Schizosaccharomyces pombe: one gene and its partners. The gene in region 1 interacts genetically with each later gene. Each region holds a gene or a part of one and is shown on either strand. Other genes may lie near its edges.

Region 1 (4,900 bases):
TATTTTTACTTTTCTTTCTTAAGGTTTCTTCGAACAAGTTCCAAAAATCTATAGATATGTTAGTGTTCGCACAATCAATGGAATACATTCAAAAAAACATACGCAGGATCATTTTGAATTCCAGATTTTTTAAATATCTCCGTGATAGTTTCAGCTAACTGCTTGAATTCCGGATCACGAGTAATCTTTAGGATAGTAAGAGGTGACGGTTTTGAACCAGCTTCAAGGCCGTATTTCTCAAAAAACTGACGAAGACGGCCAACCTTTTGAGCAAGTTCCGGATCATTAACAACTAATGAACTCATTTTCTCTTCAAGTTTCTGGACTTGCTCATCCATTACTGGATCCTTGAAAATAGTGTCGTCAGGTTGCGTAGTCGCACTTCTCTTCCATGTTAATATACTAGGAAACCTATTCCTATACAGAAGAGCATTGTTGTATGTAAGAGGCCTTCTGATAGTCAGCTGAGACAAATACTTCCAATATTTCATATTTGTAAGGTGGTGGTTAATTTTGTGTTCTAAAGAAGTATGAGGGATTAGGGAATGTGTCGCTCAGATAAGCTTGCTGCGGCAAATTAATACAAACTCTAAACGAAATGAAATCTTTGTTTTGGATACGTATTATTCACTCATAATTCTAAAATTTTGACTGGCAATATAATACTTTGATTCTTCCTGTTGTAGAACTATATTGTCTCTTAAAGGAAGTTAGTAGAGGATCTTAGTACAAGAAGGTAAATACAATAAAAACTGACATACGAAAATACATGAGGTTTTTTTCCATCGAAACGTATTGTTCCTGAAACAACAATTATGATATTCATATCATTACCCATGACCTGTTGACTATCGAAATCCTCAACTTTAGTTTTGGAGTATGGAAGATTAACTATCATAGAGGTAAATTCGGTTACTTGCATGGGTTTTCCATTCCATAAGATCAAACTATTTTCTCTGTAAAATTCTGCGATCCCATTTCTGTTCGTATCAAGAGATGAGTAATACCGTTGGACGAACTCCTGCGCATCTTTAATTGTTAGTTTATAGATAAAGCTTTAGTAATGCGGCATTTAACATACATTTTACACTCGACTCCATAATGATTCACAATGACAGAAATTTGTAGTGGTGTAAGTAGTCATTTAAACAGGTACATGTGTTATAAATTGAAATATTGTACTCATTAAGCGATATTTAAAGATAATCTTTGTTCAACACACTGAATGGATATTTCGGCTAGATATCTTTATGACTACGATTTTTACTTATAACATGAAGAGTGGAGAACAATTATGTGTACTCATTTGCCATACTACAAAAGCATAGATCACGTAAAAACTCAACGAATGATTAATATATTAGTAAAAAAATATATATTCGAATGTAACATGATAACTCGAAAGACAATTTGTTGTAAATGAAAACAAAAAATAAATATATGTTCGAAGAAATAGGTCATTAAAAGCCATGGTATGGCAAGCGAAGAAGATGGGAGAATAAGTGGTTTAAAGCTGAATCAACATTTTTTTGACTCAGAAATGCATTGGAAACAAAATGCTTTTTTACAAGTGCTGGAAGAATGAGGGTTCTGAGTGCTACTTCCTGAGAACGAAGTTTGTTGACTTAAAGGTTGAAAACCAAGATTAAAATGATGGGTAGAAAGATTAGGTCGAGGGGATATCATTGAAATTAATGAAATAAAGTTTCTTCGTTTTGTAGAATTGGAGTTTCGGACTTTTGACTTAGAAAAAGATCTACGTAAAGGAGTTTTAGGAGATGATAATAAAGGGTTCCTTCTTCTCGGTGAAGATAAAGTATCAGAGATGACGTGCAAAATCTCATTTTGTTCTATGCTTTTATGCTTGATTGTATCCAAACCACGCTGATCTGTTAATGTTCCTGATGAGTTTGGCAACAGACAAGATTTTTTTTCCAAAGCTGAAGCATCAACTTTTCTTGTTTTATCATTGATTTTTAGTCTCACGCATGACTGAGAGGGTATAGTTTCATTACAAACATTTTCCACAAAAAGTGAAGCTAAAGGAACTTCATCTGCAAACACACAATCTGACACCATTTCATCACGAAGTGATAGATTTTTAAATTTATAGATCTGGGGAGACTGAAAATCCTCTATATGGACTGGTGAAACAGCTTTTTCCCCTGGGTTGCCAATGCTTGAGTCTAATTTTTTTTCGTATCCATTTGACGCTGAGATTTCAAGGTTGTTAAATGTAGGATCCCATATATCATCTTTTGTTTTTAAAGCTTCTAGATGTCCATTATTAACAATAATTTCACCAGTTGCAAGATCTACTTCATCAGCTATATCAGAAGTGTCGCGTCCATATTTTTTGAAAAGAGATTCCAAAAAGTCGTTGTACTTCTTTTCGGACTCAATTCTTTTACAAAACACATCATCACAAGCCGTAGGATTAGTATTAAATTCGACAGACTGAAAAGACAACAGATGTGGACAAGAATAGTTTGGAGGCAGGTCAACGGCTTTCGGTTGACGATTGCACATGATTGAAAGTTAAAATCATTTGGTATTGAGAAATTTTGTTCAAAAAATCCTTTCCAATAAATTTCTTAAGGCAAAAATTGGAGATTTTCAGTTATTAGTAGGAAAGCGATTTCAGTAGTGGTTTATTAGTGAACGGTGCCATAACTGTAGACTTGTATTAGAGTTTCGTAACTAATTCACGAATGACTTTTAGATTTAATTTCTGTTAGAACTTAGAGATCAAAAAAAAAAGATAATGAAAAGTTCTTTTGAATAGTTTATGCAAAAGTGTAATTTCAATGATGGTCGCTTAACGCTTGTAAATTAACTCATTGCTCCAAAAGACTGATTTATCTGTTCTTGCACTAATTCTATACTGTTTAAGAATTTCTAAAATACATAAAATTAATAGACATACAATTTTGTAATAATAACGAACGCTGCGATACCTTGTGGATTCCAACGAACATAGCAATTCCACATTACTTTTTTAATGATAAAATGAGAAATCAACGATACCTAAAATAAAGAAAATAAGGATACTCGTTTTGGTGAATATTACTTTGCATCATTTGCACAATTTAATAAAAAAATCCCATAAGTTGAGCATTCCATTTGTCACATCGCCCCAAAGAAGCGTGACGATTCTTTGGCTTTCTTTCACAAATAATTCGTATTAGTTGAAAGCGTTCTGTTCGACAAGTTTAGCCATATTTTGATTGTTCATTCATGTAAATATGAGGATACGTAGCGCAGCTCCTCAATAGAATTCTTTTAGAAAGTGTCTATTGTACCAACTAGTAACTATTATCAATTCCATTACAACATAGAATTGGAGAAATCATCGCTAAATAATTAGAACAAAGGATGAATTGATCTCGGCATTGTTTGCATTCTTACTAAGTGCCAAGTGAAACAGACAATAGCGAGAACAATAGAAATGTTAAACAAAACGACAGAACAATTTGGACACGATAGGGAACGTATTGTAAAATAAACTATTTTTGGCTCTTTGTGACTTAGTCTCATGAACACAGTCTTCTATAACTTGAAGCAAAACCGAGTCGTTTCATGTTTCAGTTTCTTACGGTATGCTTGTTTTGAACAATTTCTTTACCGAAGCATTCACATGAAAAGAATTACTACACCATATGGAATATGACAATAGGAATTACTCATTCCCCTCCAACAATAAACGTACCCGTTACCTGAATAGCACAGCATGCCGATGAAACAAAGGAAGTTGAGTACAGCGCAACTCTTTCAACTACTCCATAATTGCACTTTCTTTAAAACACTACACCATTGTTTGAGCATTGTATAGTTCAAATACTCGAATTTCTTTGTATTCCTTCACCATGGATCCTAAGTATAAAAAACCGCATAGAGCTCCATATTTGTCATTACATTTGAAGGTTTCGTAAAGCAAGCTGAATAAGAAACTGCAATCAGAAAAAAAAGAAGGGAACGACGAAGACTTTGTTTTAGTACTAGTATTGCAATTGACAAATAGGTTCAGCAAGGAATTTTGATCACTTAACTCGATTTTTTTGAAACCTCTCTGATTTTGCCATTCGCTCGTCTACTTATTCCTCATTACCTTTTGACACTCTTTTGCTTTTTCATTTTTTAGTTTTTTTCAGACTAGTAGAATTTTGAAATAACTTCTCATTGCATTGCATCGCATTTCTCAATTTTTTATCTATCTTTTGATTTGAGTCTTGCTTCTTTTTAATACTTTCTTTTCTTCTTCTTTGAAAAACATTATTAATTATAATTTTTCTTTTATCGCTTGATCTTCCCATAATTCGTCATGTCGATTGCTTTGGCTTTCTTTATTCTCGTTTTGCTAGGATTTTCCTGGGCATCCCCATCTGCACTTGATGACACTTTTAACGTCAGTCGGTCAGTAGGTTTAATTTCATCTTCTAATTTAGAATCTTGCCAATCAAGCCCTCTCGAAGTTGGCAATATCTATAACTCAACCTCTGCTTCTGAGATTCTAAGTACCTTAGATGCCAAGTACATTACTATAATTGGTGTTATCGGGTCTTCCAACTCCTCCATTCAAGACTTAATTGACTCTGTTGGCAATTCTAATAATGCAGCTTCTTCCAATCCTACTTCCACCGTTACGGAATACGTTGACAGAGTTCAAACTGTTACAGAATATGTTACGTTGTCTTGTGGTCAAGCTTTCACTTCTACAGTAGACATTTCTTCTAGTACTAGTTCATCTGTTATCAACTCACCTACTGGTACGGCTGTTAGCTCTCAAATTTCCACATTATCCATGAGCCCTTCATCAACACCCGTATTTTCTCCATCAGCTAGCGTTTCATCGAAAGTAGCTAGTTCTGTTAGTTATGTTTCCAGTGAACCCAGTGACTCA
Region 2 (5,470 bases), on another chromosome or scaffold:
TCTGGTGCTGATAATGGAAGCATGTGCTTTTGGGATTGGAAGTCTGGTCACAAATATCAAGAGCTTCAATCTGTTGTTCAACCTGGTTCATTGGATAGCGAAGCTGGAATCTTTGCTAGTTCTTTTGATAAAACCGGTTTGCGTCTAATTACTTGTGAGGCTGATAAAAGCGTAAAGATATACAAACAAGTGGACAATGCCACACCTGAAACACATCCCAATTTGCCATGGACACCATCAAATCTTCGTCGGCGATATTAATAGGGCATCGACTTCCAAGATTAAGATTGAGAGGATAGTTATGATATGTATGTTATTGCTAGATATGAGATTCCAATTTTTGAATCTACTATTTAATGTCATCTTTTGGTAGGCGGTAAACAATGATAAAATATTGGCTTGTTTCTAAATAGTAATTTTCTCATGCTTGATGTTTTGGAGTGCATAAATAAGAAAACTATAGATTATTATTGTTGCTTTCTTAAAGAAAATTTTTTAATCTGTTGTAATGAACTTGTGCTTTATTCCATAGTCATAGATTTGCTTTCCTATTAGCCTTAACGTTTTCAAGGTTCCATTGTTTACTTCTTGGAAAAAGACCCATTAACGGATTGTAACAAAATTCCTTATCTCTTTAAAAGACCATACCCTACCCTAAATGTGCTTTAAAAAAACAGTCACTGTGTAGACCTCAACACAGAAACGACAAGTTGCAGCGTGCAAATTCCTCACAAAATGCTTATTCCCAAGGAGAACCGCAAGGCCATTCATCAAGCTTTGTTCCAACAAGGTGTCCTCGTTGCTAAGAAGGGTAATGTCTAAAAAACGTCGTAGACCAAGGTTTAACTAACAAGCGTAGATTTCAACCTCCCCAAGCACCCCGAAGTTGGTGTCCCCAACTTGCAAGTCATTAAGGCTTGTCAATCCTTGGATTCTCGCGGCTATCTTAAGACCCGCTACAATTGGGGATGGTTTTACTACACCTTGACCAACGAGGGTGTTGAATACTTGCGTGAGTATTTGCACCTTCCCGCTGAGGTTGTGCCCGCTACTCACAAGCGTCAAGTTCGTCCTGCTGCCCCCCGTGCTGGCCGTCCTGAGCCTCGTGAGCGTAGCTCTGCTGCTGATGCTGGCTACCGCCGTGCCGAGAAGAAGGATGATGGTGCTGCTCCCGGTGGATTTGCTCCTTCCTTCCGTGGTGGATTCGGTCGCCCTGTTGCTGCCTAAGCCCAAAAAGTTAATATATTCAATTCAAATGTATGCTTGGTAGGATCTTATGTGTGTGTGTACTGTATTAGTAAACCGTAGATGTAAATCAGCTATGCAGATTATGAATTCCTACTAGTGGTTGGATAGTTTAATGAGTGTATTTATGTTTTTTATATTTAATAGCTTGTACTATGATGAGTATGTTTGGTGGTTTTCGCATTATTGATAACGAAGGGAAATAACGGTTCAAGCGATCGAATTAATCGTATTCATTATAAAAGTACATTCCAACTGCAGCGTGTATTTTTTACAGTGCGGATATTTAGCATGTCCTTAGTTAATCTCTTGTTGTCCGAGACTTTCCTGCCTTTGTAGAACAAGCCCATCCCGTACATACAGTATTGATAATCCGGTTTCTCCTGTAAGGTACGATGGCATAGTAAAAGGATCGAGAGCATCTTGACGACATATGTCTTTCAAGCCCTCCAAAATATGTTGGCCACGAAGTTGCATAACTACTAATGGCCGTTGTTCAGTAGGATTATAAGATTCTACATTTTCTTCAAGAACCTTATCTTTCTCAGTGCTCTTTTCTATATAGTCATGATCAAGAGTAATAAGTAACTTATCAAGCACTTGAGAATGTGTGTCACCAAATCGTCGCTGAATAGCCATTTCACGGTGCTTTTCACAATTTTGAGTGCTATCCGCAATGAGGGAACTGTTATCGTCAGAAAGGATCGGTCGTGTATCTAATGGAGACCGATCTACCAAGTTTTTTGCGTAAATTTGCCATGCTCCTAAGGCATTTGCTTCCTTATTAACACCAACATTGGTGCAAAAGGTAGTTAAGTTTTTCGAGACTAAGTCTATGGGTCGAAGGGCAGAACCAGCTTTAAGTCTATAAAGTAGCCTCGATAAGCATTGTAGAAATAGAGAATGACACACATCATTTCGTAAAAATATGTTGTGTAGTAAAACATCTGAGTCATCCATGAGACCGAGGTAAAATATTTGCTTGGAAGATGGGTACGTGTGCAAAGCAGTGGGTCGTTTTGAATCCCATAAAACGAGACGGATAAAAGTAATAGGTAATGTTTCATGCCTGGAGATATATGTGTGCTGTTAAAACGGTTAGCAAATATTTCCATGATTATGTTTCGCTGTTCACGTACATATACAAATATGCTTTCTAATTCCGACTTCAGTAGTTCTAAGAAGACAAGAGGATTGGGTAAAACGGTCTTTTCGGCGGAATGATGAACTTTGGAAGCAGTCCACCGCATACTGACAAATCCATGAGCGAGAGCTGTGAATTGATATTAGAAAGCAATGAATAGTTAAGGTGTGTCAACAAAAATACATACCCAATATCTCCAGCTGTGCAATTTGGCCCAAGTAGAATCCATTAGGCCAATCGTACACAAGCATTCGATGAATAATGCTGCGTTTGAGCATGCTCTTTGGAACATTTTTATAAAATGCTTCGGGATTCCACTCTTCATCGTCCAACATATCTTCTAAATTGATGTCTTTGGCATTTGGTGGGTATGTTTGCTTCTGAATCCATTCTACACACAATTTTACTAAGAAATCCCTAGGAAATCGATTTAATAGCTTCTGGATCTTCTTGTCATGCTTGATTCGAATATTACTAGACAATTCAGTACGCATAGCGGTCCTCCTTTTTGAATATCTTATGTTTACGACAAGGAGCCACAATATATCAATCGTTACCGTGGACTAATTTTTTATCCTCTCAAACACTGATCACTAACGAAGGATTTCAGATATATTTGTTTTGTTAAATATTAATGTTACAAAAGAATGGTCTTTGAGATCATTTGGCAGCACCAGCTGTAAGCAAATTTAACTCTTCCCAAGTTCTTCTAAGGCAATGGTTTGGATGGTGGTGAAGGGAGTCCTTGCCCAGATTGCAGAAGTCTTGCTGTTTTCTCGGCAGCTGCTCTATTAGCATGATATCGAATTCGCATTTGGAAAATATCTCGATGAAGATTATAGTGTTTGGATTGGGTCTGTGTTGAACATTCTTTAGAAGATGAGGAGGAGGAGTTGATAGATTCATTCTCGGCAGACGCCGAATCTACATCTTTCTCCTTCTCTGTCTGCTGCACTTCTAAATTTGGTTCCTGTTTTGATTCTTGTGGATTACCGGTCGCATCCTTCTCTACGTTTTTTGACTCATCCTTAGCTTCTAGTTTGTTGGTGTCGATTTTGTTAGTCACTGATTTAATCACGGAAATTGGTGTAGCAAAACCTCGATCTTGCAAATGATTGTAGCAAACATAAAAACTATTTTTATTTTGTTGGTTAAAAAAACTTTTTCCTTCCCATTAAATTATGTATCAACTCAAACCATGAAGGTTTTCACAATGATTACTTACAAATCTAATTTAGTTTTTGTTATTAATACCCATTTTGTAGGCTTGTAACACTAGAAACGATAATAGTGTATTAGAAAATGGTGCTTCATCAAGGTAATGGGCAATTTTTAATTGCTGTTGTTTCTTACAATAAAGCATGGTTTTTTATCTACTTCTGAAACTTGTCTCAATGTATAGAAATTTTCAAATTTATTGGACATCGGCATTTTCTTCAACATTACTACTTTATATTTGAGGTAAAGAAGAGAGAAGGGGTGAATCGCCTGAATTACACTCACACATCAATTTATCTAATAGACGGTTCAAGCACCACAGAATACTTAATTTATTTAATTTATAACTAAAATAAAAATAAAATACTCAATCTATTTTATTGATTTTTTTTGCAATTGCCCAAACATTGTATAGACAACTAAGCAACATGTTGACTTTTTTTGCTCAGATCAAAAAAAATAAATAAATAAATAAAGGCTTTAGTGCAACGTACACCCACATATACATATTCAATTAAAAGGCATGTTAACAAAACTTCTTATTGAAAACCTTCCTCGGACAATGAATACAACTCGTAAAGTCTATTCAGCCTATTGTAAAGGGAAGGTAAAATAAAACACTGGAAGCAATTCCAAAATTTTCTATTGATCAACTTGTTTGTTCATAAAAATTGTAGCAAGTAAAAGGTGGAAACCTAAAGATGGAAAACATTGCAAAAATCAGTGATTTAGAAATGAAACGCATAAGTAATGACAATACAAAGATAAATAAATATTTAGAAATGATAAAGAAAAGGGACAAATTCTTATCAACAATGGAAAAATGAAAAAAAAAAAGGAAAAACGAGTGACCGGATAAACCAGCAATGTACAGCAACAGCATAAGTGGAATCTTATACCCAGATACCTTTATCTAAAAGGAATAGCAAGTTAAAAAATAAGCAACATTGTGCAAGAAAATAACCAGCAAGCAACATAATAATAATAAGGAACCGAGAACCAAACACATATAATAATAATAATAAAAGACGAGCCTCCATAAATAACACACAAACATCCGTTCATACCTCATCTCTCACGACTATATGAGGATGCAAATGAACATCTAAAGATTTACAATGACAAAACTTGACTCAAAAAAATAACCATCTGAACAATCCGATAAAACTTGTATGCTTGAAACACGGAAATAGCGGCAAAAAATGGATGAAAAAAGCAATGCGATGCAATTCGATGATGAAGCAAAAAATAAATCAGACATCCAAACTTCACTTCAAAGCAAGTTGCATTTTGGGAGACAGAGGAAATTAATGAATCTCAATGGATTGTTGTGTATGTTGTATAGCTGCGGTTTCCGGTCTCGGTACGATTGAGGGTGGTCTCTGAAGTATCGAGGTTGGAAGAACAGAAGTACTAGCGGTCTTTACCTTTATTAATGATGGCCTACGAACTGGTGAGGAGTTGGGCTGTGAATCGAGCTTTGGATTTGGTTCCGAATTGGGATGTGTGAGCGGCAAAGATTCCGACCTTGATTGAGGTTGCGAACTGGGCATAGAAGCTGGCAAAGAATGCGGTTGGGCCGAATCAGAAGTAACAGCGCTTAGCGTAGGTAGCTCTAACAACTCTTCCGTCTTGCATATTTTAGAAAAGATCTTTTTATCTTTTTCAGGATCGGTATGCGTTTCTGAAGGCTTGGGTACCTTGGAGCCATAAGCAGCAAGTAAAGAAGTAATGACCTCCATTAGTGCCTTGCGAAGACGCACACTATCGACAACAGAATGGTCCAAGTTCATGTCCACTTTGGGTACATAAGGCTTTTGCAATAGACGATACATGAGGATACGAGTATTCTCGCAAACATGA
Region 3 (5,569 bases), on another chromosome or scaffold:
AATTTGAACTATTGTGTCGGATTTTGTGGAGATGGCGCGAATGATTGTGGTGCTTTGAAAGCAGCCGATGTAGGAATATCTCTTTCTGAAGCAGAAGCGTCAGTTGCTGCTCCATTCACTAGTAAATGGTTTGAGATTACCTGTGTACTTGACGTAATTAAAGATGGGCGAGCTGCTCTAGTCACAAGCTTTAGCTGTTTCCAATATATGGCTTTGTATTCTGCAATTCAATTTATCACTGTCAGTATATTGTACACAACAAATTCAAATCTTGGAGACTTCCAGTTTTTGTTTATTGATCTTGTCATTATTCTTCCCATTGCGGTTTTCATGGGGAGATCTCGACCTTATCATCGTTTGGCCCACAAAAGACCTACCGCTAATTTGGTTTCCAAACGTATTTTATCTCCTCTAATCGGTCAAATCGTCCTTATTTGTATAATTCAATATATAACCTTAAGGATAGTACGGAGAGAGCCCTGGTATATACCACCACCTGCGAATAGCTCAGATACGAATATTACAAATAGCGATGTAACTGCTCTGTTTTTAATTTCTTGCTTCCAATATATTTTTATTGGAGTGGTTTTGAGCATAGGACCTCCTTACAGAGAAAAAGTTTGGAGGAACTATTCATTTACAGCTGTCGTTGTTGTTTTGTTGATCCTGACCGTTAAGTTAATACGACTTCAAAATCATAAAAACTTTTTTATGAAACTTTTCCAACTTACGCCTACGTCCAAAAGTTTCCAGAACTTTTTGATCTTCGCTGGTGTTATTTATTATTTACTCGCAGCCAGCGGTCAAAATTACATTTTCATTTCTATGACCAATTTTATATCTCACCTGAATAATCGTTTACTTAATCGCCGAACGAAAGTTTCGAAGAAACTATACAAACGCCTATTCGCAGACTTGCAAAATGAACAAGTTTGAGATATATTATCCCCCTTTTGTTGTTCAATAGATTTTTTTTGCTGTTATGTATAATATTAATAGTTACTATCCTTTTTACTTTATCATGGTCAAACAAAACATTTAATCTCTGGTGTTATAGAAATGTAGTCTGATTTATAACAGTAGTTTTGATGTATTTACAAGGCGACGAAGATCATTTGTTTTAAATTATACAAAAGCTGAAAAAAAGAGAGCAGTCAATTACCATATGACTCTGTATTGTAAAGAATATTGCAAAAAACAGATGAAGCGTAGAAGGATGGAAAAGTGAGTTTGGGTTTTTTTCTATGGCCAACTTTACTCCAGATCCCTAGGAGAAACCTGAACATGATCACGACCCCAAATGACACGAGAAGGGCTCCATATTTGAAGGATATTATCATCGGCAAGACTTCCAACCACCCAACGCTCGTTTGGACACCAACTAAATTCTGAGATGCGATTTGTGTGGCCTCCATGCATAAATAGTAATTCTGGAGAACCATCCTCGGCATCCTCCGGAGTCTGTTCCTCTCCAATCTTTTCTAAATCCCAAATACAAACACGGCGATCAGTTGAACTGGATGCCAATATAGGTTCATCATGAGGTGACCATTCTAACCCATATACCTCATCTTCGTGTCCTTCCAGGGTATGCAACCGTTGATATGGATTACGGAGGTCCCAAAGAGCTACTGTTTTATCAGCACTGGCTGTTGCTAAAAGATAGTCATTAAAGGGATTAATGGCAACGGCATTTATGGCTTTAGAATGAGCCTGAATAACTTTGGGAGCTTCTTCTTCTGGATTTAACCGAGTATCGTGAATTTGCAAAGTGCAATCATCCGACACCGATGCTAATAATGCCTCATGTTGAGGATGAAATTGAACATCGTTAACAATATCAGTATGACGATGATATTTGGCTATGGGGGAAATGACTTTTGTCTCAGAGGAAGTAAAAGATTGTGTCTGAACATCCCATAAACAGATAACTTGATCCTCTGCTCCTGTTGCTAGATTTCCAGGTAAATTCGGGTTCCAGCAAAGACCAAAACCTTCAGCAGTATGGCCCTTCAAAACTGCTTGAGGAAGTGCTTCACCTGTAGTTAAGGCATCATGACAAGTTGTATCAAAAATATAAGCATTTCCTCCTTCTCCCATGGTAGCGATGATTTCAGGCTTTTGAGGCATGTAACGAGCACGATTGACATCGCCATCGTGAGGGATTTTTTGTGAAATTTCAATCGTATACGAGCCCGTGGCCTGTGCTCTTCGAATCGTAGAAGGAGTAAACTCGGTGGTATCCTCATCAAAGTTTGGTAATTGCACAGAAGCAATCTGTAAATAATTTTGATCATTACCAGATGTGTGAGTGCCAAGAATAAGACGTTGAATAGAGTAATCAGTACCTGGTATTCTTCAAGAATCGAGTTAGAAAACTGATGAGATGGTTTGAAGTAAAGGCCAGTATAATCATAGCCTAACTACTTTGGCAAGCAACGTACGTTTTTTTGTCAGGAAGCCATTGAATTGTCAAAGAAGGCCATTCCAAAGCGTGGGTTATTACCAAGTCATACAGAAAGGGAACATTTTGTTTCCAAAGTTTGTATTCTGAAACGAGTATAATCGTCAGTAATTACGGCATAATAATATATATTAATGAAGAATTCCCTTTAATCATACCTTCTTGTATTGTTTTTTGTAAGTCTATCTCGGCATTGAGTTCATTATTCTCGAGAGGTGCATCCTGGACTACTTCCTCTGACATGTTTTGGGCAACTACACAATGGCCCAAACTAGATTGCCAAGTTAAAAGTTTTGGAGTTATAAGTAATTTACATTATTTAAAGATGCCCAAATAAATCTAGCGCACTCTTAAGTCTGAAATAAAAAAAAAATAAAATAAAATTCATGAACAGCGATATAGAAAACAAGTTTCAATGAGCGAAAACAAATTTGAACATGCCTCTAAAAACCATTACTTGATGCCACGTCTCCATGAAAACAGACATTCATAGTGAGAAGAATTCCTCAAACATCGTCTTTATCATGCTCTAATAATTATAAAACCATTTGGCAAAAACAAATATTATAATCTCAGTATACTTTGATAAACAGATTGTCATTATATTTACACTAAAAATAAAACTATTGAACCCAGCCATCAATGGGATATTTATACTGTTGGCTCTACGAATTGTTTTACAGTACACCGTAAATTTATTAAACAAATCATGTAGTATTGCAAACTTTGGGTACGTATCTAAACTAATCAAATATAAACTTTTTTTAATTAAAAATGTCTGGGAGACAATCCCATCCTTGACCCATGGAAAAAAGTCAACGACCGGGAAAGCCACTCAATTCTTCGCTGAAGACGGAACGGATGCATTTTCTTGGTCCGGAGACTCCAACCATCATACTTGACTTCAGGATTGATTTTACTTTACTTATATAACAAAGTAAGTTAAAACCTACTGATGATGGTGAATCATCAACTGAACAGACCCTATATATAGTAAATTTGTTGTGACGGTTTTTACCTTAGGTTAGGGTATTAGAAACGATGTTCTGGAGACTAAGTAAAATTTCATATGTAAACAATGGCTGAAAAGAGAAACTTGTGAAATGACTATGAGTTTTGGCTGATTTTAATTTATATGATTAGCTAGCTTTAATAGCACGTAGTCAGACTTTTGGGTACTTGTCGTGGAAACTTTAACATGCTAACTTGATAAATTATTCGATAACAGTACAATTCAAATCGTGTCTCTTATTTCTTTTAACCTCATCATAGCAATTTACTGATTTTAATTTAAAATATTTATTAAATATAGTTGTGAATTAAAAAAAAAAAATTCCCAGATGAGTACTTTCTTTCTAATGTTATTTATTTTGATATACTGAGGAATTTGTATACCGCATTGCCTTAAAATGCATGCCAACAGTGGTCTAGCTCGTTATTCGTCTCGACTTTTTTTTGGAATAATGCTTGCGTTTGCTAAGTATTTTGAGGAGGCAATTAATATCAGTATATCAATTATAAGAGAGGAATTTAGTATAATTGGAGTATATTTGCACGTTTTGAGTTGTTGATCGTAATCTTATTACTTCAGATGTTTTCATAGCGACTTCTGGTACCCATTGTATATTTATAATTATTGTAACAGTTTTTAACATTGCATTCTTTTTTTTTCTTGCTAAAGTAAATTCATCAAAATTTAGAGGTATTTCTATGAAAGATCTATCCATATCATGTAAATTTTTGTGTTGCCTACATAATCGAGCATCCAAACCTTGGTTGTCGGATACACCTTAATTAATCGGGGCACAGAAGAAATTGAAAAAAACAATAAGCAAAATAATTAAATTTTATGAACCGCAGTCTTAACAGTCATTATTATTAACCTGCTACTTCAAATGCGGTTTTGTTAATGACAGTAAAAAATACAAACACTTCAAAGTATTCAAAGATGAAATTTTCGGTGTGCATAAGCGTAAATAATCACAAAACTGAGAACAAACAGGTCATCAGTAAAAAAAGGCAAAATTTAGCCTTTAGGAAACTTTTTCTCTCTTTTTTTTGAACAAACGGATAACATCAGGGATTCGATATCTAGCAATAATAAAATAGTAACGTAGAAAACATTAACTAATAATAAATATACAAAAGATGTGTTGAGGCAAAGTCTTTCAATTCAATCAAATTAAATTGGTTTATTCCTAGGAGCGATATGATTTTTTTGGATTTCACGATTTTCTTTATCATTCTCCTCATGCTCTGGTGGATGGTGAATGTCACGAAGCCTTCGTAGTACAGGAGGTATAACATAATCTTTAACTGTGTCTGCCCAAATCATGTCCAAGTGTTCATAGCTATCAACCTTAACATGCTCCACCTCCGCAGGCAAAGCATTCAACATCGCTTGGATATCAACGAGTGAGTCGCTGCCTCCCCAAATAAGATAAATAGGGGTGCGAATATTATTTGTAGGGAATTTGGCAGCTTTGTAATATTTGAGGAAATAGTCATGACCAAGCTGGTCATTATCATACATTCTAAATTCTGCGCTTCTCATGATTTGAAACCAATGCACAAGGCACTTTACACTAGTATATGAATACAAATGGGCGAATGAAACCAAGCGTTGATAGGAAGAAATGTTTTGGCAAGACCAGTTAAATAACTGAGACAAACAGTATGCAAGGACTGCATCAAAAAATTTTGGAGCTGGATAAAAATGTCAGTGAAATTATTAAAAGAAAAAAACCGTACCTAAAAAGCTTTGCCAGAATCCGGCAGACGGCAAAATAGATTTTCGTCCGAAAAGGAAAAATAATATGGAAGGTCTGGCTTTTACAAAGGCATCTACAACTCTGTTATGTAAACCTTTTGGACTAATTGCAGGTGCTAACGCTATCAAAGAGTTGATTTTGTCATTCAACAGGGGATGGATACTCAAAGAAGCAAAAGCTTGAGCAGTGCCCTGAGAAAATCCTATATAAGTGAGCTTTGTTTGCCCAGAAGTTTTTAGAATATAGTCAATGGTATCGGGAATATCGTATTGAGCAAAATCGTCAATGCTAAAGTCCCAAAATTCCTTGTCAGTAGAGTCGAAGCGAAGATGTT
Region 4 (8,879 bases), 1.3 Mb from region 1:
AACTTGTGAAGTTGTGCTTGAAAATAAGGGATTATTGCCGTAAGGGTTTTGGTCTATACTGGCCTGTAATGGTTGTTGCTGTTGTCCAGCTTGAGATCCACCAAATAACCCAGTACCAAAATTTGAAGTTTGTGCTTGGTTGTTAGTATTAGAAGCCCCAAATAATCCAGATGTAGTTGTAGATGGTTGTTGAGCAGTTGTGTTACCAAACAAACCACCAGTTGTAGTAGAAGGCTTATTAAACAAACTACCACCGGTATTGGTTGTGTTTGCATTATTGGATCCAAAGAGCCCGGTTCCGGTATTGGAAGTAGCATTATTCGTTTGCGTAGAGCCAAATAAACCGGTACCAGGAGTACTGGAGTTGGCTGATCCAAACATGTTAGAACCCGCAGTGTTCGCATTTCCGAATAAACTTCCGCCAGTGCCGGTAGCATTAGTAGCTGTGTTGGTATTAGCACCGGCTCCTAAACCACCAAACAAACCTGTCCCTGCTGGTTTAGGAGCAGTGGTAGCAGTGGATCCAAAAGCTGGCTTGGGAGCATTATTAGCATTTTGCCCAAAAGAAAAACCTCCGCTGGCAGGAGTAGTGGTCGTGGAACCAAAACCGAATCCAGAAGGCTTAGTGGCTGCATTATTATTGGCACCAAAGGAAAAATTACTACTATTGTTACCACCAAAAGTAGATGTTGGAGCGGTGTTATTATTTGCCGTATTATTATTAGCGCCAAAACCAAACAAACCTGTACCCATGGTACCTGAATTGGGTTGGTTATTCGTGTTGCTTCCAAACCCCCCAGTAGAAGAACCAAATCCCGTACCCGTACCAGTGGCAGCACCACCAAATAAGCCACCCGTAGTTTGACCTGTTCCTGTATTGGTTGCGTTATTTGAACCAAAAAGACCCGTTCCTGTACCAGTATTGGTAGTGTTAGTGGTTGAGCCAAAACCTGAAAAAGCTGGTTTTTGTTGATTAAATGTAGAGCCACCAAAAAGACCGGTTGAAGGAGTTGAGGTGGTATTATTGTTTTGACCAAATAACCCACCGGATGCATTATTTGTTCCAGAACCAAACCCTGTATTGGTAGTGTTACTACCAAATGCAGATCCACCGCCAAAGAGACCGGAACCAGGAGTGGTATTAGTAGCATTCGATGTACCAAACGGTGTTGCATTATTTGTGGTACCTGACAAATTCTGACCAAACGGAGTAGTTGAAGCTCCAAATGCGGGTGTTGAACCAAATGCAGAAGTAGTGTTCGTACTAGAAGCATTGCCAAAACGTCGTCCTTGATTATAGTCTTGTAAACGCAACTCTTCAAATGAATAAGATCTATAAGCGGGCATACAAGTTATAGACTGGAAGACACTAGTACCGTTTGTTTGAGGGTCTTTTTCAGAAGTTACCGCATAAGGTGGGTTAGCTGTACCATTCACAGCGTTTGCATTGCTTGAGACAAATCCAGAGGTTCCGAAAGCGTTGGTCGTAGCGGGTGTAGTGGACGAACCAAACAAGCCACCACCAGTACCTTGCGAACCAAACCTGTATTTCCAGCAGTATTGCCAGCGTTATTTTGAGAACCAAACAAGCCACCACCGGTACCAGTATTCGATGCAGTGTTACCGAACCCTGTTGAACCAGCGTTCGATCCAAAAGAAAATGACGTTCCAGTATTTGCATTGTTGTTGGCGGTATTTGATCCAAAGAGGCCACCACCACTAGGATTTGTGGCGTTGTTCGTGCCTCCAAAAGCAGGAGTATTGGATTGGCCAAACATACCTGTCCCAGAGGACATTCCAAAACCTGTGCCACCAGTCGTGGTAGTGTTGTTTCTATTTCCAAATAGTCCACCGTTCGTATTTGATCCAAACAAGGGTTGAGTAGTGTTCTGCCCAAAGCCAGTTGTAGAAGTGTTTTGGGAACCAAACAAAGTGTTCCCTGGAGTATTGGAGTTGGAACCAAATAACCCACCAGTTTGTTGATTATTTTGACCGAAAGCACCGGTTCCTCCTCCAAATCCGGAAGAATTGTTTTGTCCAAACATCACTAGGATGATATTTGATTAAATAATTAGTAAAGTCACCAAAATTGGTGTTGTGTGGACGACAGGTCCGAATAGTGCACTGCTACTCAAGATACGTTCAAGGCGTGATAGAGAAGAATACAGAAATTTAGCTTTTTTTTTAATACTCACGGTAATTACAATTTTTAAATTTGCTTCATTTGTTTTTCTCAACGTAATTGTCGCATTTCTTCTAACGTGGTATTATTTCTGTACATCGAGGTTGATCACTTACTTCTCGTATACGTACACTGGTGCTTCATAAGTCATCGAACGTTGATTCCAGGCTAGAAAATGTCTTCGGGGGGACTTGAAGATGATATTCAGCTGGTACACGAGTTTTTGGATGTATCTTTTGAGGATATAAAACCCCTGGTGTCTGTCAATGGTTTCGCTGTATTTATATCTGCTATTAAAACCAAGGTTAAAGACATAAACGCTTTAAAGGATCAGCTTGTCCTTCAAGAAGTCAACCATGAGCATAAGGAGAATGTTCTTACGAAGAAGATTAACTTTCTTGAGCAACAACTTCAATCTTCTAATAATCAAGCAGAGGAATCACGTAATCTTATATCGGTATTGAGAAATGAGAACGAATCGCTGAAAACCAACTTGGAGAATCAAAATAAGCGCTTTGATGCATTGACTACTGAGAACCAGTCGCTTAGAAGGGCTAACTCTGAATTACAAGAGCAATCTAAGATTGCTTCTGAGCAGCTTTCAATCGCGAAAGATCAAATCGAAGCCCTACAAAATGAAAATTCACATTTAGGAGAGCAAGTCCAGAGTGCGCATCAAGCATTGTCTGATATTGAAGAAAGAAAGAAACAGCACATGTTTGCTAGCAGTAGCAGTCGTGTCAAGGAAGAGATACTCGTTCAGGAGAAAAGCGCTTTAGTCTCTGATTTGGCTAGTTTGCAATCAGATCATTCGAAAGTTTGCGAAAAATTAGAAGTTTCATCTCGTCAAGTTCAAGATTTGGAGAAAAAGCTTGCTGGGCTTGCCCAACAGAATACAGAGCTTAACGAAAAAATACAGCTTTTTGAGCAAAAGCGGAGCAATTATTCCTCCGATGGGAACATATCAAAAATCCTTGAAACCGACCCCACTTCAATCAAAGAACTTGAAGAAGAAGTGGAAACTCAGAAACGACTTACAGCTCTTTGGGAGTCTAAATCTTCAGAGTTGCAATCAGAGGTTGCTGCACTTCAAGAAAAGCTCACTTCGCAACAAAGTCTATACAATAATGTGACCGAAGAGTTAAATAATAACAAGCAACAGCTATTGATTTCGGAGAATAGTTTGCGGGAACTGCAAGAGAAATATGATAGTGTAGTTAGTGAACTACAAGTGGTTAAAGAAAATAAAAATACCTCTGTTTCAGCTGGTGTAGGTTTGTTTTCTCCTTTGGCGCAAAAGTTAAGCGCCGTTCAAAATCCCGAATTTTCATTTACGAAAGTATATTCGGACAATATGAAACTCCAACAGAAGGTTTCTAGCTTAAAGCTTCAGCTAGACCGCTTGACTAACAAATTCTCCTCATTTTGTGAACAAGTTAAACAAAGGATTCCAGTTGTCAAACAACAGAGGAGTGAAATCGTTAGGAATAACATTTATATGAATTTTCTTAGCGAATCTTTGGAAACATCTAACAACAACCTAACCAAAGTACAAGCAGAGCTTTTATCGACCAAAATGCGCCAAGAAGCTTGTTACTTGCAGCTCACCGCATCTCGTACTCAATGCAGTGATCTTTCTCGAGAAGTTATTTGTCTCATGGCCGAACTTGATCATTTGAATGAAACTAAATCAAGAAACGTTCCCGCTACTGTGCAAGTTGCGCTTGATGAATACGCTCAAAATCCCTCTACTGCATCTGAGACACTAGTAAACAAGGAGCTTGCTAATTTTTCATCTATAAAGGAAGCTGTTTCGAAAACTCTAGAACTGCGGGAAAAAGTGCGGGCCCTTGAATGCGATGTTGAAATCCAAAAGCAAACTGTCCAATATCAAATTTCCAATGCAGTTAAAGAAAATTCAAATACACTTTCAGAGCAAATCAAAAATTTGGAAAGTGAGTTAAATTCGTCAAAAATAAAAAATGAGTCCTTACTTAATGAACGAAATTTACTGAAAGAAATGTTAGCTACTTCTCGAAGCAGTATTTTGTCTCACAATTCTTCCGCGGGCAATATTGATGACAAAATGAAATCCATTGATGAATCTACAAGAGAACTTGAGAAAAATTACGAAGTTTATCGTAACGAAATGACAGCTATTCAGGAATCCTTGTCTAAGCGAAATCAGGATTTGTTGAGTGAGATGGAAGCAATACGTAAAGAGTTAGAAAATTCCAAATATCAGCAGCAGTTATCTACTGATAGATTAACTAATGCTAATAATGACGTTGAAGCCTTTAAAAAGGAAGCCAAGGAGCTTCGTAGTATTAATCAAAATTTACAGGATATAATTAGTCGACAGGATCAGAGAGCCAGTAAATTTGCCGAAGAATTATTACATGTTAACTCACTTGCTGAAAGATTAAAAGGTGAACTAAATGCTTCGAAGGGTGAAAAAGATTTACGGAAAAGGACGCAAGAGCGTTTAATATCTGAAAACGATAAACTTTTGGCTGAGCGCGAGAGACTAATGAGTCTTGTATCAGATCTTCAAACTTTTCTTAACCAGCAACAGCTATCTGATGCTGCTAGAAAAGTAAAATTTGAATCTGAGAAGGAAAGCTTAAGCCTTTCCTTGCAGAAGTTGAAGGAGTCAAATGAAAAGATGAGTAATGATCTTCATTCTCTACAGAAATCTTTGGAAAAGAGCGGAATTGAGTACTCCAGCAGGATTAAGACATTAATGCTCGAAAAACAATCGTTAAGTGAAGACAACAGGAAATTGTTAGATAATCAACAAATGATGGAAATAAAACTCCAAGAATTAAACGGCGTCATTGAACTTGAAAAACAAAGATTTTCTACTTTGGAAGCCAAGTTTACACAGCAAAAAAATACGTCCTATAGCGAAAGGGAAGCTTTGCTAGAATCATCGCTTAGTGACTTGCAATCTAAACATACTTCCTTAGAATCCCAATACAATTATTCTTTAAGGAATATTGAACAGTTACAGGCCGCAAGCAAACTCGCCGAAGAAATGGTTGAAAGAGTTAAAACTGAGTATGATGAGTATCGATTGCAAACTTCAGAGTCCTTGGAAAAAAATCATTTAAAAATCACTTCTCTTGAACAAAGGATAGTTATTCTACAAGATGAGATAGCTTCTTCTTCTTTACGCTGTGAGAATATTACTAAAGATAGCGAAACAAGAGTTGCCTTGCTTTTAGAGGAAAATAAGCATCTTAACAATGAGCTTTCGTCACACCGAAATGCTGAAAAGCAACATTTAGAGAAGGAGAATGATTATAAACAACAGTTGTTGTTGGTAACTGAAGATTTAAGAAAAACTCGTGAAGATTATGAAAAGGAACTTTTAAGACATGCCGATGCTAGATCGACTCTTCAAAAACTGCGCGAGGATTACACGAAGGCATTAGAACAGGTTGAAGATTTGAATAAAGAAATAGCCTTAAAGGCCGGTATAAACGAATCTCAGCCCTTTCCCATTAGTGAAAAAGAAGATCCTTTGAGACAGGAAGTTTATGTCCTCAAAAAGCAAAACGCAATGCTTTTAACCCAACTTCAATCTTCCAATCTCAACTTTGCAGAAATAACTAGCCCATCCCCGGATTTAGATTCTGTTATGAAATTAGGATTATCAGATTTACAGAATCATGTGAAGCGTATATCCAAAGAAATGGAGATTATTTCATGCCAACGACAATTATTATTCCTTGAAAATAAGAAACTCAAGCGAACCGTTGAATCATCGAATCGAGTTATCGCCGATCTGCAAAGAGGTATAACGGAAAAGGATGTTAGCAGTACTTCTGAATCCGTTGGGGAACGTTCAAATTATCTAAACATGGTTGCTTTATTAAATGAGAGCAACAAATCTCTCCGAGAAAATTTAGAAAGGAACGAGGAAGTTATCACAGAGTTAAGAGAGAAAATAGAAACTCTTAAAACTGATTTGGCGAATTTTAGACTTAATAAAGAACAACTAGAATCACAGCTTCAAACAGAGAAAGCAGCTGTAAAAAAGCTTGAAAACAGCAACGAAGAATACAAGCGTCATAACCAAGAAATATTACTATCTTTGAACAGTAGCACATCTACGTCTAGTGATGCTTCACGCTTAAAGAATGAACTTGTTTCCAAAGAAAACTTAATAGAGGAGTTAAATCAAGAAATTGGTCATTTGAAATCTGAATTGGAAACTGTTAAATCAAAAAGCGAAGATTTGGAAAATGAGAGAGCGCAAAACCAATCCAAGATTGAACAATTAGAGTTGAAGAATACAAAACTAGCAGCTGCTTGGCGAACTAAATATGAGCAGGTAGTTAACAAGAGCTTAGAAAAGCACAATCAAATACGTCAACAACTTTCGCAAAAGACTTCTGAATTAGAAGCCAAGGTTGCGGAATGTCATCAGCTCAATGAACAACTCAACAAACCTTCTGCAACCCCCACTGCTACTACACAGTCTGAACCAAGTACGGTGTCACTGGAAGAATTCAATAGCACTAAGGAAGAACTATCTTCTACACAGCGAAAGCTAAGTGAAATTATGGATATCTTAAATACTACGAAGGAGGAGCTTGAGAAGGTCAGACAAAATAGTAATAAATCTGAGGGAACCAGTAAGGATACTGAAATACCCAACGAAGAAGAAATGGAAAGGAAGAAAGTCATGCAACAGGAAGTTTTGAGGTTACGTTCGAGAATTGCAAAAGAGCTACAGAAAAACGAATTACTCAGGAAACAAAATCAGGTTTTACAAGATCAAGTGAAAGCTTTGCAAGAGACAGTTGTGTCATCCGAGGAAGCAGAGTCCGCTTCGGTACATGCTGATACTAAAGATTTGGAAAACTTAAAAAAGACAGAAGAGATGTTATCAGTTACATTTCAAGTAATCTTCAACGAGTCCATATCTGACTTTTCGACTTCCACTGCCGACTTTACTACTTTTGTGCAAAAGGAATGGGAAAAGCGCAGAGAAATTTTACAGAAGGATGTTGAGGAACAAGTTGCTCAGTCGCATCAAAAACAACTAGATAACATCCGAAAAGAACTCGAGATGCGTAACAAGTTGAAGTTGAGCATGCTGGAAAAGAACTTAGCTAGAGTGCGAGCAGAGTTGGAGCAATCGAAGAAAAAAGATAGCCCTGCAATTTTAAGTTTGGAAGCTTCTAAAAACACTGATTCCAATAAAAGCAATTCTGAAGTCCCAGCAGCTCAAGTTAAAGAGAAAAAGTTAATCGCCAAAACTCACTCTGTTGACACTAATTCTCCTCCTAAACGGTCCAGTTCAGACGCTGGTATGGATGTTTCCAATGATGTTAAGAAAGCCAAATAGTAAAATATGAATTTTTTGGTATAATGCCCTTTTTAATGTTTCTTAAGAGTTTGTAAACAGATAATAAAATAGGTTAGCTGCATAATTATTATTTCTGGTTTCCAATAAAAAAAACGACTTTAATTTTATTATAATAAAAAGCTTTGTATTGTAATTTAATATTTTGATATTTTTTGAAGAGCTATAGATATTTTGCGCAACTAATGTCCTTATTCAGATATGTAAGCTACGCAGTTTGGTATCTGATTTAAGGATACGTAGAACTGCGGTGAGTTTTCCTTGTGGTCTATTATATTACAATACACAGGTTGTATAAGTAGCAACTGAGTATAGGTATTGTATTAACTGGGTTATAATGTTACCTATCACTAATATAGCTCATAACTGAACTGAGGAACGAGGTTCAGTTGTAACGGTATTTATAATATTTCTAAATAGTTGTTATCAACGGGTAACTATGTATATAGACGGATAGTTACCCGTGATTATCAATAAACGGATCTTAGCTAGTATTCCAACATATGACATATAGTGATACGCAACGTAGTGTATCATAGCGTAGTGTAGTATTGCTGACAAGATAAAATAAATAATGACGTTTTCGCGTGTTCTTAAGCTTAAGAACGTAACGCGCAAAAACTCATTATATGACATCCATATTTAACCCACTGGAGAACTGACCCAAAATAGAAAATTTCGGTTTTCATTGGTTTTTATTTATATTGAATTCTTGGGTTGATATGCAAAATGAGTATGTCGATATGAATTCATCTTCCGAGGATTCAGATGGTGATTCAATTTTGGAAGAAGGACGTCTTCGTCCATCTTTTCGTGGGCAGCAAAAAGAAAGGGACATGCTAGGAATATTTGGTGAAGAAGATGAAGATGGTTTTCATAACTCGGGGATTGGAAGTGCTAGACTTCGTAGAAAAAACATTTCTTTTGTTGAGAAATCTGAACAAGTTAAAGCAAATAAGCAAGTGACAGCAGATGATTTATTGGAGGCGCATTCAATTCCACAGTTAAAGAATAAAAATGATGAGGTTTCTCAGGCGAAAAATATTCCAAAGATGAAGTTTAATACTACTGGATTTGGCGCAAAAATGTTGGAAAAAATGGGGTATAAACAAGGACAAGGTTTGGGTGCCAATGCTGAGGGTATAGCTGAACCTGTACAATCTAAGCTACGCCCCGAACGTGTCGGATTGGGAGCCGTTCGAGAACGGACCGAAAAGCAAAGGAAAGAGGCAATTGCTCGTGGTGAGATCTCTGATAGTGAAGATGAGAAACATACCGTCAAACAAAAACCTTTAAGAGAAAAAAAGAAGAAACCTTTAA

The links.
Region 2: of scm3 (region 1) and mis15, extra expression of one is lethal in a mutant of the other (dosage lethality), as found in Schizosaccharomyces pombe (one study listed by BioGRID).
Region 3: mutations in scm3 (region 1) and mis16 are lethal when combined (synthetic lethality), as found in Schizosaccharomyces pombe (one study listed by BioGRID).
Region 4: mutations in scm3 (region 1) and alm1 are lethal when combined (synthetic lethality), as found in Schizosaccharomyces pombe (one study listed by BioGRID).

What each region holds. Positions count from the first base shown.
Region 1 is NC_003424.3:1,859,563-1,864,462, reverse strand, and holds scm3 (CENP-A histone chaperone Scm3), read right to left. Parts: upstream 2,657-4,900; 5' UTR 2,530-2,656; coding exon 1,519-2,529; 3' UTR 1,331-1,518; downstream 1-1,330. Other genes in the region: protein dpc13, read right to left, coding at 6-48, 103-491; mRNA export receptor Nxt1, read right to left, coding at 701-1,029, 1,082-1,100; cell surface adhesion protein for conjugation Mam3, read left to right, coding at 4,322-4,900. UniProt on the Schizosaccharomyces pombe protein: Centromeric protein that plays a central role in the incorporation and maintenance of histone H3-like variant CENPA at centromeres.
Region 2 is NC_003423.3:1,447,273-1,452,742, forward strand, and holds mis15 (kinetochore protein Mis15 ), read right to left. Parts: upstream 3,099-5,470; 5' UTR 2,884-3,098; coding exon 2,577-2,883; intron 2,519-2,576; coding exon 2,385-2,518; intron 2,332-2,384; coding exon 1,543-2,331; downstream 1-1,542. Other genes in the region: Prp19 complex WD repeat protein Prp5, read left to right, coding at 1-261; rps1002 (40S ribosomal protein eS10), read left to right, coding at 736-811, 860-1,227; SPOM_SPBC32H8.01C (uncharacterized protein), read right to left, coding at 3,099-3,522, 3,615-3,664, 3,743-3,832; NEDD8 protease Nep2, read right to left, coding at 4,915-5,470.
Region 3 is NC_003421.2:581,273-586,841, reverse strand, and holds mis16 (histone H4 chaperone, CENP-A recruiting complex CENP-A chaperone Mis16), read right to left. Parts: upstream 2,717-5,569; 5' UTR 2,708-2,716; coding exon 2,623-2,707; intron 2,551-2,622; coding exon 2,445-2,550; intron 2,373-2,444; exon of another isoform or gene 2,357-2,372; coding exon 1,255-2,356; 3' UTR 949-1,254; downstream 1-948. Other genes in the region: SPOM_SPCC1672.11C (P-type ATPase P5 type), read left to right, coding at 1-936; SPOM_SPCC1672.09 (triglyceride lipase-cholesterol esterase), read right to left, coding at 4,647-5,170, 5,216-5,569. UniProt on the Schizosaccharomyces pombe protein: Regulatory subunit of the histone acetylase B (HAT-B) complex. The complex acetylates 'Lys-12' of histone H4 which is required for telomeric silencing.
Region 4 is NC_003424.3:3,190,194-3,199,072, reverse strand, and holds alm1 (nucleoporin Alm1), read left to right. Parts: upstream 1-2,305; 5' UTR 2,306-2,357; coding exon 2,358-7,541; 3' UTR 7,542-7,626; downstream 7,627-8,879. Other genes in the region: ntr1 (RNA-binding splicing factor), read left to right, coding at 8,282-8,879. UniProt on the Schizosaccharomyces pombe protein: Maintains the proteasome and its anchor cut8 at the nucleus envelope and is required for kinetochore component proteostasis. Proper kinetochore stoichiometry ensures the correct attachment of kinetochores to spindle microtubules during cytokinesis.